Linked DNA regions of Oryzias latipes. The protein of the gene in region 2 interacts with the protein of the main gene of each other region in a pairwise test. Links are inferred from orthologs where the notes say so. Each region holds a gene or a part of one and is shown on either strand. Other genes may lie near its edges.

Evidence for each region. The genes of interacting proteins can lie anywhere in the genome.
Region 1: the proteins of probable E3 ubiquitin-protein ligase DTX2 (region 2) and glyctk interact in binary tests that used the Homo sapiens proteins (3 or more experiments, as listed by UniProt). The two-hybrid records come from large-scale screens. The link is inferred for Oryzias latipes from reciprocal best matches to the Homo sapiens genes DTX2 and GLYCTK.
Region 3: the proteins of probable E3 ubiquitin-protein ligase DTX2 (region 2) and ncs1 interact in binary tests that used the Homo sapiens proteins (3 or more experiments, as listed by UniProt). The two-hybrid records come from large-scale screens. The link is inferred for Oryzias latipes from reciprocal best matches to the Homo sapiens genes DTX2 and NCS1.

The regions. Positions count from the first base shown.
Region 1 is NC_019863.2:8,153,790-8,157,962, reverse strand, and holds the start of glyctk (glycerate kinase), read right to left. Parts: upstream 2,860-4,173; 5' UTR 2,661-2,859; intron 1-2,660. Other genes in the region: wdr82 (WD repeat-containing protein 82), read left to right, coding at 3,176-3,336, 3,921-4,018.
Region 2 is NC_019872.2:28,224,231-28,228,282, reverse strand, and holds the start of probable E3 ubiquitin-protein ligase DTX2, read right to left. Parts: upstream 2,863-4,052; 5' UTR 2,223-2,862; coding exon 1,913-2,222; intron 1,539-1,912; coding exon 950-1,538; intron 1-949. UniProt on the Homo sapiens protein: Regulator of Notch signaling, a signaling pathway involved in cell-cell communications that regulates a broad spectrum of cell-fate determinations.
Region 3 is NC_019867.2:19,620,858-19,625,031, forward strand, and holds the start of ncs1 (neuronal calcium sensor 1), read right to left. Parts: upstream 2,860-4,174; 5' UTR 2,242-2,859; intron 1,813-2,241; 5' UTR 1,698-1,812; intron 1,655-1,697; exon of another isoform or gene 631-1,654; 5' UTR 521-630; exon of another isoform or gene 392-520; 5' UTR 327-391; coding exon 263-326; intron 1-262. UniProt on the Homo sapiens protein: Neuronal calcium sensor, regulator of G protein-coupled receptor phosphorylation in a calcium dependent manner. Directly regulates GRK1 (RHOK), but not GRK2 to GRK5. Can substitute for calmodulin. Stimulates PI4KB kinase activity.

The DNA.
Region 1 (4,173 bases), on a different chromosome or scaffold from region 2:
ATAAAGAGGTAATGGAAAGATGGAAAAATCATCAAAAGGCATCAGATTACAGATGAGATATTGTTGTGATATGTAAAAAAAAGGCTTTATTTCCATCATTTACCCCTCCAAAATAACAGAAAACAAAATAATTGGGTGAGCAAAAGTTTGGGCAAGTATCACAGCTTGTAAAAGCTTTTTGTAGCCAGCTAGGAGCCTCTCATTTCTTGTTTGTGGTATTTTCATCCATTGAGGTGTGGATTTTGAGGTGTGAGGTGGATCACTATCCATTTGTAGAAGCCATCCTCTCTTCAACTGCAGCTTTTTCACAGATAACATCAAAATTTGCTGACATTTTGTAGAATTCATTCTTCCTTCTACTCATGACATGTTTCATGTGCCGCTGGCTGCAATACAAAACCAAGGCATGATTGTTCCACCCCCATGCTTAAAAGTTGGACACGGGTTCTTTTCATTAAACCCTGAGCCCTTTCTTCTCCAAACTTACCTTCACTCATTCTGGCCACAAAGTTTCATTTTAACCTCATTGTTCTACAGAAGTGGTTTCCAAAACGCATCAGGCTTGTTTACATGTACATTTGCGAACTTCAAAGGTTGAAAAGGTTGGTGAGGACGTAAAAGAGGTTTTCTTCTGATGACTCTTTCATGAAGACTGTATTTGTACAAGTATCTCTTTCTAGTAGAACATCGAACCACAACTCCAGAGTCTGCAAAGTCTTTCAGGAGGCATTGTGCAGTCAAACTTGGGTTTTGACTTGCTTTTCTCACAACCCTGCGAGCAGCTCTGTCTGAGATTTGTCTTGGTCTGCCAGATCTTGCCTTAACTTCCACTGTTCCTGCTGTCTTCCATTTCTTAATTACATTCCGAAGAGGGGGCTACTGGCATCTGAAAATACTTTGCTTCTTCTCCTGCTCTGTGAGCATCAACTATTTTCAGTTTCAGTTTTCTAGACAATTTTTTGTAAGGAACCCATGATGCTGATTGTTGGGGGAAGGTCAGATGACACAAGTTATCTCAAATCTTTTTGAGATTTAAATGACCACATTTTTAAAAATGATGATTGTGAACAATCCATGATACTGTCAGGTCTCAGCTTTTCCAAAGGGGCGGCGCATGCTTTAAATTCTGCATGGTTCCTATTATTTTACACTTTTGTTTTCTGTTATTATTATTATCAATAGTTTTTAAATTCTGCTTAGATTTTACTGTTGTGTTGTTCAAGCTCTAGGCTGGATTAATAAAAAATAAAAAAATAAATAATAATAATAATAACTACAGCATCAGCTGATTTTACCATCTTGACGAACATTTTTTTTACCATCTTGACGATATCACCTCTGTGTTCATCCAAAAATGTCCTGATAAAACACTGAGTAGTTAGGAATATGAAAGATCGTAAAATACTTTTTTCTTTGTGTTTATTTGATTCTATTAAAGACATTTTGATAAGAATGAGGGTACTGTGATTTAGCCGCAGCTTCAGTTCTGTTTTCGGAAAAGTCCCGCCCCTTTAACTGTCTCCACTAATCATTCTTGGAGGCCTAATCACATGTCATCAGTCTGACCAATCAGAAGTGGTTAAAGTCCTCACTTCCTTGTTCTGATTCTGCTCATAAAGTCTCTCAGTTTTAACAAAAATACCAGCTAAAGCTCGTGTTTAGCAATGAAGCTTTCCGCGGGATCCGGTGTCAGGCCATGGAAAAAGTGAACAAAACCATGAAGCTCAGAGAAGTGAGTCTATCTGCGTTCGGCGGCTGATTGTACTACATATCCCATGATGCATTGGGTTAAAGTGACAGCTGCTCAGCGTACGATGAATTTTCGTTGTTAAAAGTCTTGAAACCACAACGAACACGCATCAAACAGTTTTGAAATCTTTTAACTTAACTTTTATTACATCTTTTAGAAAAAAAACGGCTGCAACTTCCAGCTTTTTCTATTTTATCACAAAAATGCATGTGAAATTGTGGAGGGCCTGTAGATCAATGCAAACTATAAGTTTCTCCTTTTTTTAAATTTTGGATGCTGGTGTGCCACGGGATTTTGGTCAAGGTTAAAGTGTGCCATGGCTCAAAAAAGGTTGAAAAACACTGTTCAAGACCAGGGGTCCCGAAACTGCGGCCCAGGGGACGGACCCAGCCCGCCCACATATTTGACCCTGAACTTTACCAGAGAGAGTCAAACCCCTACCCTTTTTTTTTAGCATGATCACATAGCTTGGCCACGTGATCAAGACTCACGGAAGCATGGAAACTGGGGTGAAGTGGACCTTCCCAATGTCAATAAAGTTTATATGAATTGAAATGTGAGCTAAGCTAAAAATGTTGCTACTACTGCAACCTCACTTTGCCCCAGTCATGGAACTTGAATGTTACCCACCCCCACCCATCAGAACAGAAAACAAAGTTTACATAGTGACAAAAAAGTTCTGGCCCCCGATCAGAAATGGAAACCTCATGTGGCTCTCTCACTGGGAAAGGTTTTGGGGACCCCTGGTCTAGACAGCCTTACCTCTAGTCTTATTTCTTTCTTTAACAGTTTAATCTTCCCTTTTCCCCCTCTCCATCTAACATGACCAAAATTAAAGTTAAAGGGAATTAATCCAATATGTAGTGTATAAAAAAAAACAGGAAATAAAACGGATTTTTATTGCTCGTACCTCAGTCTCGTCTTCCCGACCTGTCAGGTCAAAAGTCCAACTGCTTTTCTGGATTCATTGCAAAGTTAAAGTAAAACATATATAAACTCCTAGTAAACCAAAATGTTAACATACCTAAGAAAATCGGGAACTAAGTATCATATTTTAAACAGATTCAATCAAAGAATTGTAAGCAATTGTATTCATCCACATTTCTCTGTTGTTTACGTTGCCGTCAGCTAAACCTCGCGATGACGATCGTTTATCTCGCGTGATTTCAGGTGTGTCAGGCGGTTTCTGTGATACGCGCCACCGACGTCGTGAAACGGGCGGTGCTTTACCCCCCCGTCTCAGCCGTGGAGTAAAAATTATTATTACCGTTGTAGTTTTTGAACCCCTCTACTTCCACCTTTTTCAGTTTTTCTTTTACTTTGTTGCCGTTTATATCTTTTTTATTTTATTATTACAAACAGTGTTCGCTAACATTTGCGAGCATAAGGAAAGCGAGGATCTTCTTCCTCTCTAGTCAGGTCACTATGAAGCTAACAGACAATGTGCTGCGGAGCTTCAGGGTCGCTAAAGTGTTTCGGGAAAATTCAGACAAAATAAATTGCTTCGACTTCAGTTCCAATGGAGAAACTATTATTTCTAGCAGTGACGACGACTCGTTAGTTTTGTACGACTGCCAGGAAGGAAAGTAAGACCCGCTTCTTCCGAGTTTGACCCACTGGTGAAGCTACTTCATGCTAGTTAGCAATAGCAGGGCCTGCTAGCTAGCAGTTCCCATTTAAAATATATTGTAGATGTTGATCCCCAACGGTTGCACTGTTTACTGTTGGAAAAGTATGTCTGGAACACAAACAAATTAATCTTAAGGAAAATATGTTTTCCTAGCAATTTGTGAAGTAATTGGATTGAACGATCCAATATATCTGTTGTTGTACACATATTTGAATCAACAATTTATATTTACATTGAAACTCAGTTGTTTAAACTCACTGCAGCTATAATTTTTAAATGGTTAATATTTTTTAAGTGTTTTTTTTTAGTATAACGTAATATGAATTCCTAACCTACAACTTATTATACAGTTAAAAACAGAACTGAGTACAAAAAACATCAAGAAAACCAAGTTTGAAGTAGGCTTTGGTTATTAGTCACATTTGTTTTACGTTTCCAGCAAATGATGGAAACAATGTTACGGTTGTAATACATTTGTTTGTTTTTAAAGAGCTTGTTTTATTTAAATCCATCCCTTTCCTATTGTTTGATTGATGGCAGACCCAAGAGGACTTTGTACAGTAAGAAGTATGGAGTGGATTTGATCAGGTACACTCATGCTGCAAACACTGTTGTCTACAGTTCCAACAAAATTGATGGTAAGTATGCACTATGTTGGTTCTTATGTTTGTGGATGAATCTGCCAAAGACCCACTCCACTGAAAATTGTGTTTTTGTTGTGTTGAACCCTTGTGATGGCGAACATGTATAAAGAAAATTAAGCTCAAAGGGCCTATATCATGCCATTTTATTC
Region 2 (4,052 bases):
TCATTAATGTTTTTATCTTCAGAAGACAGTAGACTCATAAATACTCGTCCAAAAACGCTCATATCAGTTCGATTTTAACTTTGTGAAATCGATGACGTCATATCCGCCGTCTAAAAAATACAAGTAGTGAGCGTGGCGTCCGAATCGCTTTAACATTCAGGGCGCTACACAGTGCTGCACTATGTAGTTTGGGGTTAGGGTGGGAATTCAGACACAACCAAGGATTTTATTCTCATTTTATTTGATTTCACAGAACTACCTTAAAATAAAAAAAAGATAAAATAAAGATAAAAATAATGCATAATCAATTATCGAAGATGGTTAAAATGAGTGATTTCTAATTACATTACTTCACTTGCTCCAAAAATGGATTCATGGTTTTTCTTAATGAAACTTAATTTTGCACATATTTTTAACTTTTGAACTTTGATCAATTTTTGATATTGAAGATTTTTGAAACAGTGTTATGTCTATTTTACTGATATAGTATTATTTTTTAATCATATACATCATTGTTCTAATGAATATAATCAGCTTATATTTTAGATAATTGATCTGCATTTGCTATTTCTAAAATAGAGTTATGTCTATTTTTACATAATAATTAAGAAATTCATCTTTATCATGAGATTTATTGACACCAAAAGATTCTTAATTCTGTCTGATAAAAGTTCTGAACCGGATAAAGATAAAACATGTAATAAAATATGCTGATTGTATTGTTTTTGTGTATTTTTCTTCCTTGATTGCTTGAAATAAACCATTTCAAATCAAAAATCAAATCAAATCAAAATGTAAGAGTTCCTATTTTATCCATGTCTGTCCCACATTTGTTCAGGTAAAACCATTTGACCCCACAAAGTGACTTCAGATCCGTGTTGGCGACTGGAACGGGACCGGCAGCGTTTTAGCAGATACCAGAAACCCCGGACAGAGAGGCGGAACCCACCTGAGCCCGTTGGCGCTGGCGGAGCCGCTCAGGTGCGACGCCGAGATCTGACTGGCAGAGGGAGGGGGGAGCCAGGGGCTGCCCCAGGATATCCCCCCAACAGAGTGGGGCCTCCGGGGATACGGCGAGTAGACGGAAGTGGGGTGGGTCGCGGCTGCCCTTCCTGGTCCCTGCAGGCCGGGTCGGTTCAGACTCCCCGAAGAAAAGGAATGTCGGGAGCGGCTGGGCATGGGCCCCGTGCTGCTGTGGCTCAAACACTGCTGGCAGGAGCAGGCCGGCCCCAAGGGGACAGCCGGGGGCCCCGGGGACGCCAGCGGGAACGGGGAGTTGCCCAGTCTACGAACCTGCCGTCTGAAACCCGTTGATTTGTTGACCTGGGCGAAAGACGTGAGGTCCACAATGTAGTTGTATCCGTGAGGGCCCAGGTCGGCGGTCCCCTGGCGGGCCTGGTAACTGTGCTCCAGAAGGATGGAAGTTCTGGTCTCGTACGGAGTCCAGCCCCCTTCATCGTTGGCCCATTCCCAGTAAACGCCACTGCCGAGGCCCGAAGACTGGGGGAACAGAGACCGGCGCACGGAGCGCGTGGTTCCTGCACAAAAACCCGCAAATGAGTTTACCTTCAGCAAGACAGTACTCTTTGTAAGAGTACTACAAAAGGTACTTGGTCTATACTAAAAGTGATGCACTTGAAGTTCACTTCCATACTGTCTATTCCTGGACTCAAAATGTTCCAAGAAATACTCAGTTACTTCACTAAATCTACATAGTCTCTAGTATTCTAGCTATACGTGTACTCAAGTATACTTAATAAAATAAACTTAAAGTGTACTGCTGCTTTCTAGACCAGCTGACTGAACCAACATCATCTTCTCAGAAATGCAGTTTAAAAAGACAAAATGAACGACGGAAACCAGAATCTCTGATCTGAATCCGGACTTCAGGTGTGGTGCTGAAGCGGTTTACCTGTATCCTGTCGAAACTGCTTCAGGCTCGGTATGTCGATGAGGTAGGGGGACAGACTGGGATCTGATTGTCCGAGGCAGACGCTGGTGGAGCTGGGTCCGGCTCCCCGGTGGCCCCGCGGGGACAGGGACCGCTCGATGTGGGAGCAGACCTGGCCGCTGTACGGCCGCCAGAAGCCCTGGTCGTCCTGCCATTCCCACACCGCTATCATTGGCTGAGACTGTCCGACTGACGGGGACGGCGCGGCGGACACCGACGGCCCGTTTCTGGAGCTGCTCACCCGGGAACACGATCCAGACACAATCGCCATATTCACCGACCGAGGTACTAGCTAAGCTAACGGCGGCTCGTTCTAGCTAGCCGATCGGGGCTACGACAAAGCCAAAGTCCGCGGGGCTAGCTTGGCTCACTAAAGAGCTTCATTATGAACGTGGGAGCATGAAGAGGCCTGCAGGTAAAACACTACGCGCTCTCCGTGAACACCAAGGTGCATGTTGACATTTCTATCAGGGGAAACGCTAGCTTTACAACTGCGTTGCTAAGGTTCCTCCTCTGCTCCACCAGCTGCCTTCACGCGCCCTCTGAATTTTTGCATTCAAACCGATGACAGGTTGGCTCAACTCAGATTCGTAAAACAGAATTTTAATCTGTAAAAACATGCAAGCACAAAACAAACATAAATATCTACTTGCTAGTGTTGCTGGTTTAAATGACTTTAAATTGCTTACATTTAAACCCCACTATACAAAAAGCGTCCTTCATTACCTCTTTTTTTTTCAAAGTCTGTGGTGAGTCGGGGACAGATGGGAGAATGTACATTTCTTGAGTAGATCTGTGTGTTTTTTAATTCTAAAGCCAAACACTTCAAAGACCAGAGTACGCGGCTTTATTAACCAAAGAACAAATAACCTTTCAAGAAGAACACATTACCGTTCAAAATTACGTTTACAAAGTCTCCCTGAACTTCACACTCTTCTTCTTTTAAAACAACAACCTCTTCCTCTTTTTGGAATCTTCAAAAACTCTGCTGCCCCCTAACGGAGACAAAACGGTACGACAAAATACTCAGAAGAGGAAAGGTTGAGCAAAAGAAAACTACGACTGTTGGATCAAAGGGAACTGTAAAAAAATAAAAGATGTGTTCAATTTGCCACAAGAATTACATTAAAAAAAATTGTCAGAATGTCACAATTTTCCGAACTGGTTAAAACCAAGTCCTCATGATCTTAGTATTTACATTTGTACAATGGTACTCCAAACATAAAATATTACAGTTTTATTATTAAACTTCAAAACTTAGTTCCACATAGACAATAGAAATTATATTAGAGACTCTATAATATTGAATAATACAATCATATTATTTATTATTATTTCAACGTAAGAATATATGTTTAGACAAAAATGTTTGAAATCCCTTAAAGCAAATGTTGGGTGAAATTTTTTTTTATTGTTGTTTGAAATAGCACAAAATCATAAAAAGAACACTTTTGTTTTTTGGACACTGGGAAAAAGAAAAGATTTTAAAATAAAAGAAAACTAAGTAATTGTTTACCCCCGGAAATTTTATGAAAAAACACTTTGTTTTTTCTTTAAGGTGAGTATGAAGCAGAAGCATCGGTTTGCATCAATAGTGCGTCAAAGGCTTAAATGAAACCCCGGTGTCTCCTGTTTGCTCGGATCATCTCTGAGATGCGTGGGCTTCACTGACGTCCACCCGCGGTTCTGGAGTCGGTTGGGTTTGAGAGGACACCTACCTGTCTGCATGAGAGCTTTCATTCAGCAGAACATGTCAGAAAGGGAATGTCTGTGGACCTCTGAGGCCCAAATAAAGAAAAACGATGCAAAAAAACCCAGGTTCTGGTGCCTTGAAGGTTTAAATGTCAAAAAGGCCCTTTTCATTTAATAAACTGACGCCTCCCTGAGGTTTACTCTATTTGAAACAAGACATAAAACATTTGGAAAAAGTGAATAAGCCCTGAATGCACTGCTGGTAGAAGGATTCATGTTTAGTGTTTCCACCTTTAGAGCCGCCACATGAAAGATGAGGAAACCTTCCTGATCTTTCTGAAATTAACAATTCATGAACTGAAAGTTTTGAAGTTTTGCAGCAGCAGCAAACTTCTCCTTTTGCAAGACT
Region 3 (4,174 bases), on a different chromosome or scaffold from region 2:
TTTTGTCTAAAAACGGCCTAACTATAATTAAAAGACCACTTGGAACACTTAAAATAGATTTTAAAAAAAGATGATTGGACTGGGAATTTGATCCTCTCCACATTCTACACAGAGGATTAATAAGCAGAGAAGATCTATATAAAGATGTTCTTAGCTTGATTCAAAGACTAAGTTTCCACCCATCACATCCTTTAAAAGAATTTCTGTATTTTTTTTTCCAACATAAAGAAAAGCTTTAAAAAAAAGAGCTGTCAGTACTCACAGTATGTTTTCCTTGTCAGTTCCTCAACCACCTCGGGTTTGAGCTTGCTGTTTGATTTCCCCATGATGTTCCTCCAAATTCACCTTGGCAAGCAGGCACCTGTTACCTCCTCCTTTCCAGTGTTCTCCTCTGCCAAAAACATACAGCAAACGTGGGACGTTTGAGCCTCAGTGGCCGAACGGGCAACGAAGGAAAGACAACCAGACTTTTTATGTTCGCTTTGACGGAGTTGAGCATGAAAAAAAAGAGGAGAAGCACCCATTCAAGATGGGATCCTATCCTTCTAGTAGTTTCAGTGTAGCTGCGGTCATGATCTGCTCAGTCATCGGTCCCCGCTCTCCAAACAGATGCATCAAACCCCAGGGGCTCTGTGAAGCAGGGCCAGCAGGTTGTTGGGTTAAAGTAAGCGTTGCCAAGAGCCTATGTGTTCGCCTCATTTCTCCACAGCAGTCCGTGGGCGAAGAGTGGCGTTCTGATGCGTTGCTACCTTCGTCCTTGGATACAAGAGTCACTTAAAGGCTGGGTAAAGCAAGATTACTCCCTCACAGTCATTCTCCACTCTCCTAACCCCCTCCTACTTTTCCCTTCCCCATCGCTATCTCTACTGCTCCGGGTAAGTTACTGAAGTACAAAATCCCTCCCCCTTGACAGCTGTGATAAGATGTGTACACTAAAACACAATAGATAGAACCTTAAAAGTCTTCCCTTGCCCTGAGTTCTGCACTCATTCAACTGTAATTCATGAACGTGAGAATGTATACAAAATGTGTCTGTTGCCCTTTACAAATGCCAAGGAAATTTTAGATCTAGAGCTGCTAGGGGTGTAACGATTGATTTTAACCACAATTCGATTTATATCTCAATTTGTGTTTGCTGATACAATTTATAGCCGATATTGGTTCATTTTAAACGATTCGAGTCATTGAACCAAAATCAATCCAGGACATCTTTAGACAAAAATTCAACCAGTGTGACTCACAGATTGCTGCTATCGCATGTGTGTTGTCTGCTGCGATGGTACTAAGTTATTTTTATCCTACTGTGCCTCCATCCAAATGGTATTTTCCATTATTGATTACAATCGATTTATATCATTTTGAACCCATTTTATAATGGTATAGGTTGATTGGATAAATAACTTTCCTCAGACAGATCGAACTGGTTGGATTTTAGGAACAGAAATCAATTCATCGATTAAGTTGATTAATCACGACTCCCCTACGAGCTGCTTTAAAAATAAACAACTGTCCACCAAGTTTACTATTTGAAGAGTGAGAGTTTTCCTCTTCCTCCTACATTCTGACTCATAGGTCTCTTCTGGCCTCAGCGGACCAGAGGACATGTAGTGCATTTTCTGTGCAACCATTGCGTTGGAATGAACCACAGCAGCTCTCTGGGGAACAGGACAGGAACCACTGTGTGCACTAGTGGGCACCTTCAGTGCAAACATCTGCTCTCTGTGTCCGCAGCATGGGGGGTCCTTCTGGGGGACGTCCTGCTGCAAATCACCATCTTCTGTTTGCTTAAGTCTTCAGGGTTTAACCAAGTTGCTGGGAGAGAAAGACAAAAAATAGAGCTTTTAGGGTTCACAAATGTGTCTGTGTTTCAAAGAAAGCAGAATTGTTAAACCTGCAAAAACACGAATATCCGACAATACTGCTTTAGATAGCTGTATTATGAGTACAGTAAGTCATCTACACAGTTGTACTGACATGTTTTTTAAGTAAAAAATACACATTTAACAGGTAAAAAGAAATGTAAAGAGTCACGGCAGCAGCAGGTGGGATGTTGCCTGGCAGTGCCATAGCAACGCAGGTAATGGCTCCAGGACAACAACGGCGACAATCATGCAAAGAGCTCGACAGTCAGTGTTTACGCGTAGGGTTTAAAGTACCCACGCCGGGTATTTATTTCGGGGGGGGGGGGGTAGATGGAACCCCGTAATGGATTTCTTTTTGGCGCTCTCGTGGTGTTGTTACCTGAAGCAGGAGGAGCTCACAGTCGCCGTCCAAAGAAAGCGTGAGCGGCAGCAGGGAGCCGCGGTCCTACCCTGTCTGCTTCCGTCGAGTTCCGGCCGCCTCTCGCTCCGACGCCGCGCCGTCTGGGAGTGACGCCGCTCGATAGCCCGACAGAGTCAGCTCACAAGCGGAGACGCTGACGCGGCGGTACCGACGTCCACACACTGACTTTCTGTCTGCACTCACTACTGGCTGTTACTCTATGAAAGAGCTGATTTACAACCGTAAACTCCTTGAAGGGAGACTGTCTCTATTCAAGTTTCTTTTTCTTTTTTTTTCTAACGGGAGGAGGGACTATAGGGCACCAAGAAGTTACTTTTAGTCTTGTTCAGAAAAATCATAAAAAAGGCAGCTAGCTGTGTACAAAAACAGGGGGAAAAATCTACAGTTGTTCACATCAAGAAACTACGGAGCCCTGAGCATGACATTAAAACAAAATTGTTCCCTCAAAATAATATTGTGAACAATTATTGGTGCGAACAAATGGGCATTTTGTAGGCACAAATGAGCACCTTGAGGGTACAAATTAACATTTTGGAATGTTGTGGGTACAAATATGGATTTTGTGGGCAAACATTTGCATTTTATGTGCACACATTAGAATTTTGTATGCTCAAATACAAATTTTATGTGAATAAATTTGTATTCTGTGGCTGCAAATTGGCATTTTATTGCGCATAAAATTCTCATTTTGTGCATACGCTTTTGTATTTGCTGGGACAAATTTGTATTTTTTTGGAGCACAAATGAGCATTTTGTGGGCGCAAAGTAAAATTTTGTGTGCACAAATTCGTATTTCAAATTTTGTTGGCACAAATTAGAGCTTTGTGTGCACAAATCCATATTTTGTGGGCACAAATTAGCTTATCGTGGGCACAAAATTTGCATTTTGTGCACATAAATGTCTTTATTGTAGGCAAAGATTGGCATTTAGTGTGCGCAAATTTGCATTATGGGCTCAGAAATTAGTATTTAGGGACACAAACTAGTAATAGTAGTAGGAATTGAAGATACAAACATACACGTTTGTGCACAGAGAAAACTAATTTGTGCCCTTAAATGCTAATAAAATGCTCATTTGGGGCCACAAAATACTTATCTGTTCCCACAAAATACTAATTTGTGACAACAAATTATTGATTTGAAATAACGTTTTTTTTTTTTGTTTTATGTCATGTCCAAGGTTCCGTATAACACCACTACTAAAATGAGACGAAGTGGGCAAATTTTTGGTTACATCTTCTTATTAAGATGTCAGCCTTTATCATGAAATGATCTTTGGTGTGTGTACCCACATTTTCTTTGTTTTATTTTATATTATTTCTGAATTTATTGTATTTTGGGGTAGCCTTGCTTCTCTCTGGCATCTTTTTTTCATGCCTTAACATTCTATTGCAAATATTTATACATGGAATGAATCAAATTACATCCCTCTTATATGCCCCTTATTTATATTAAAGTGAATGCTCTAGTTGATAAATGTAATCAATTCTCTGAGAATTCTTGCTCCAGTTTAAATTCTGTTGTAAGCTGATCTTCAGGCTGCATCCCTTCACAATAAAATATTCCCTTTTGAAGCAACAAACATCATGCTGATGATTTTATGAGTAGTTTTCTACATTAGCCCTCTAGTGCTGCTGATGTGTGAAATGCTACTCCTCCTGAGAGACACTTTGCCAATTTACTTTACATTCATTACTGATTTTCTCAAAAGCAAAGGAGAGCATGGGTTTGAAAGATGAGTGTTCGCCTGTCTTCGCATGTATCAGCTGCTTCTTAGGCCGTGTAAATTATGCAGCCAAATAAATATTTTCTTTATTTGAGTTGTTTTTCATTAACGCTTGAATCTAAAGCTTGTTGTCAGCTCTTTTCAAGTGCAGCCCATTTAAATTCT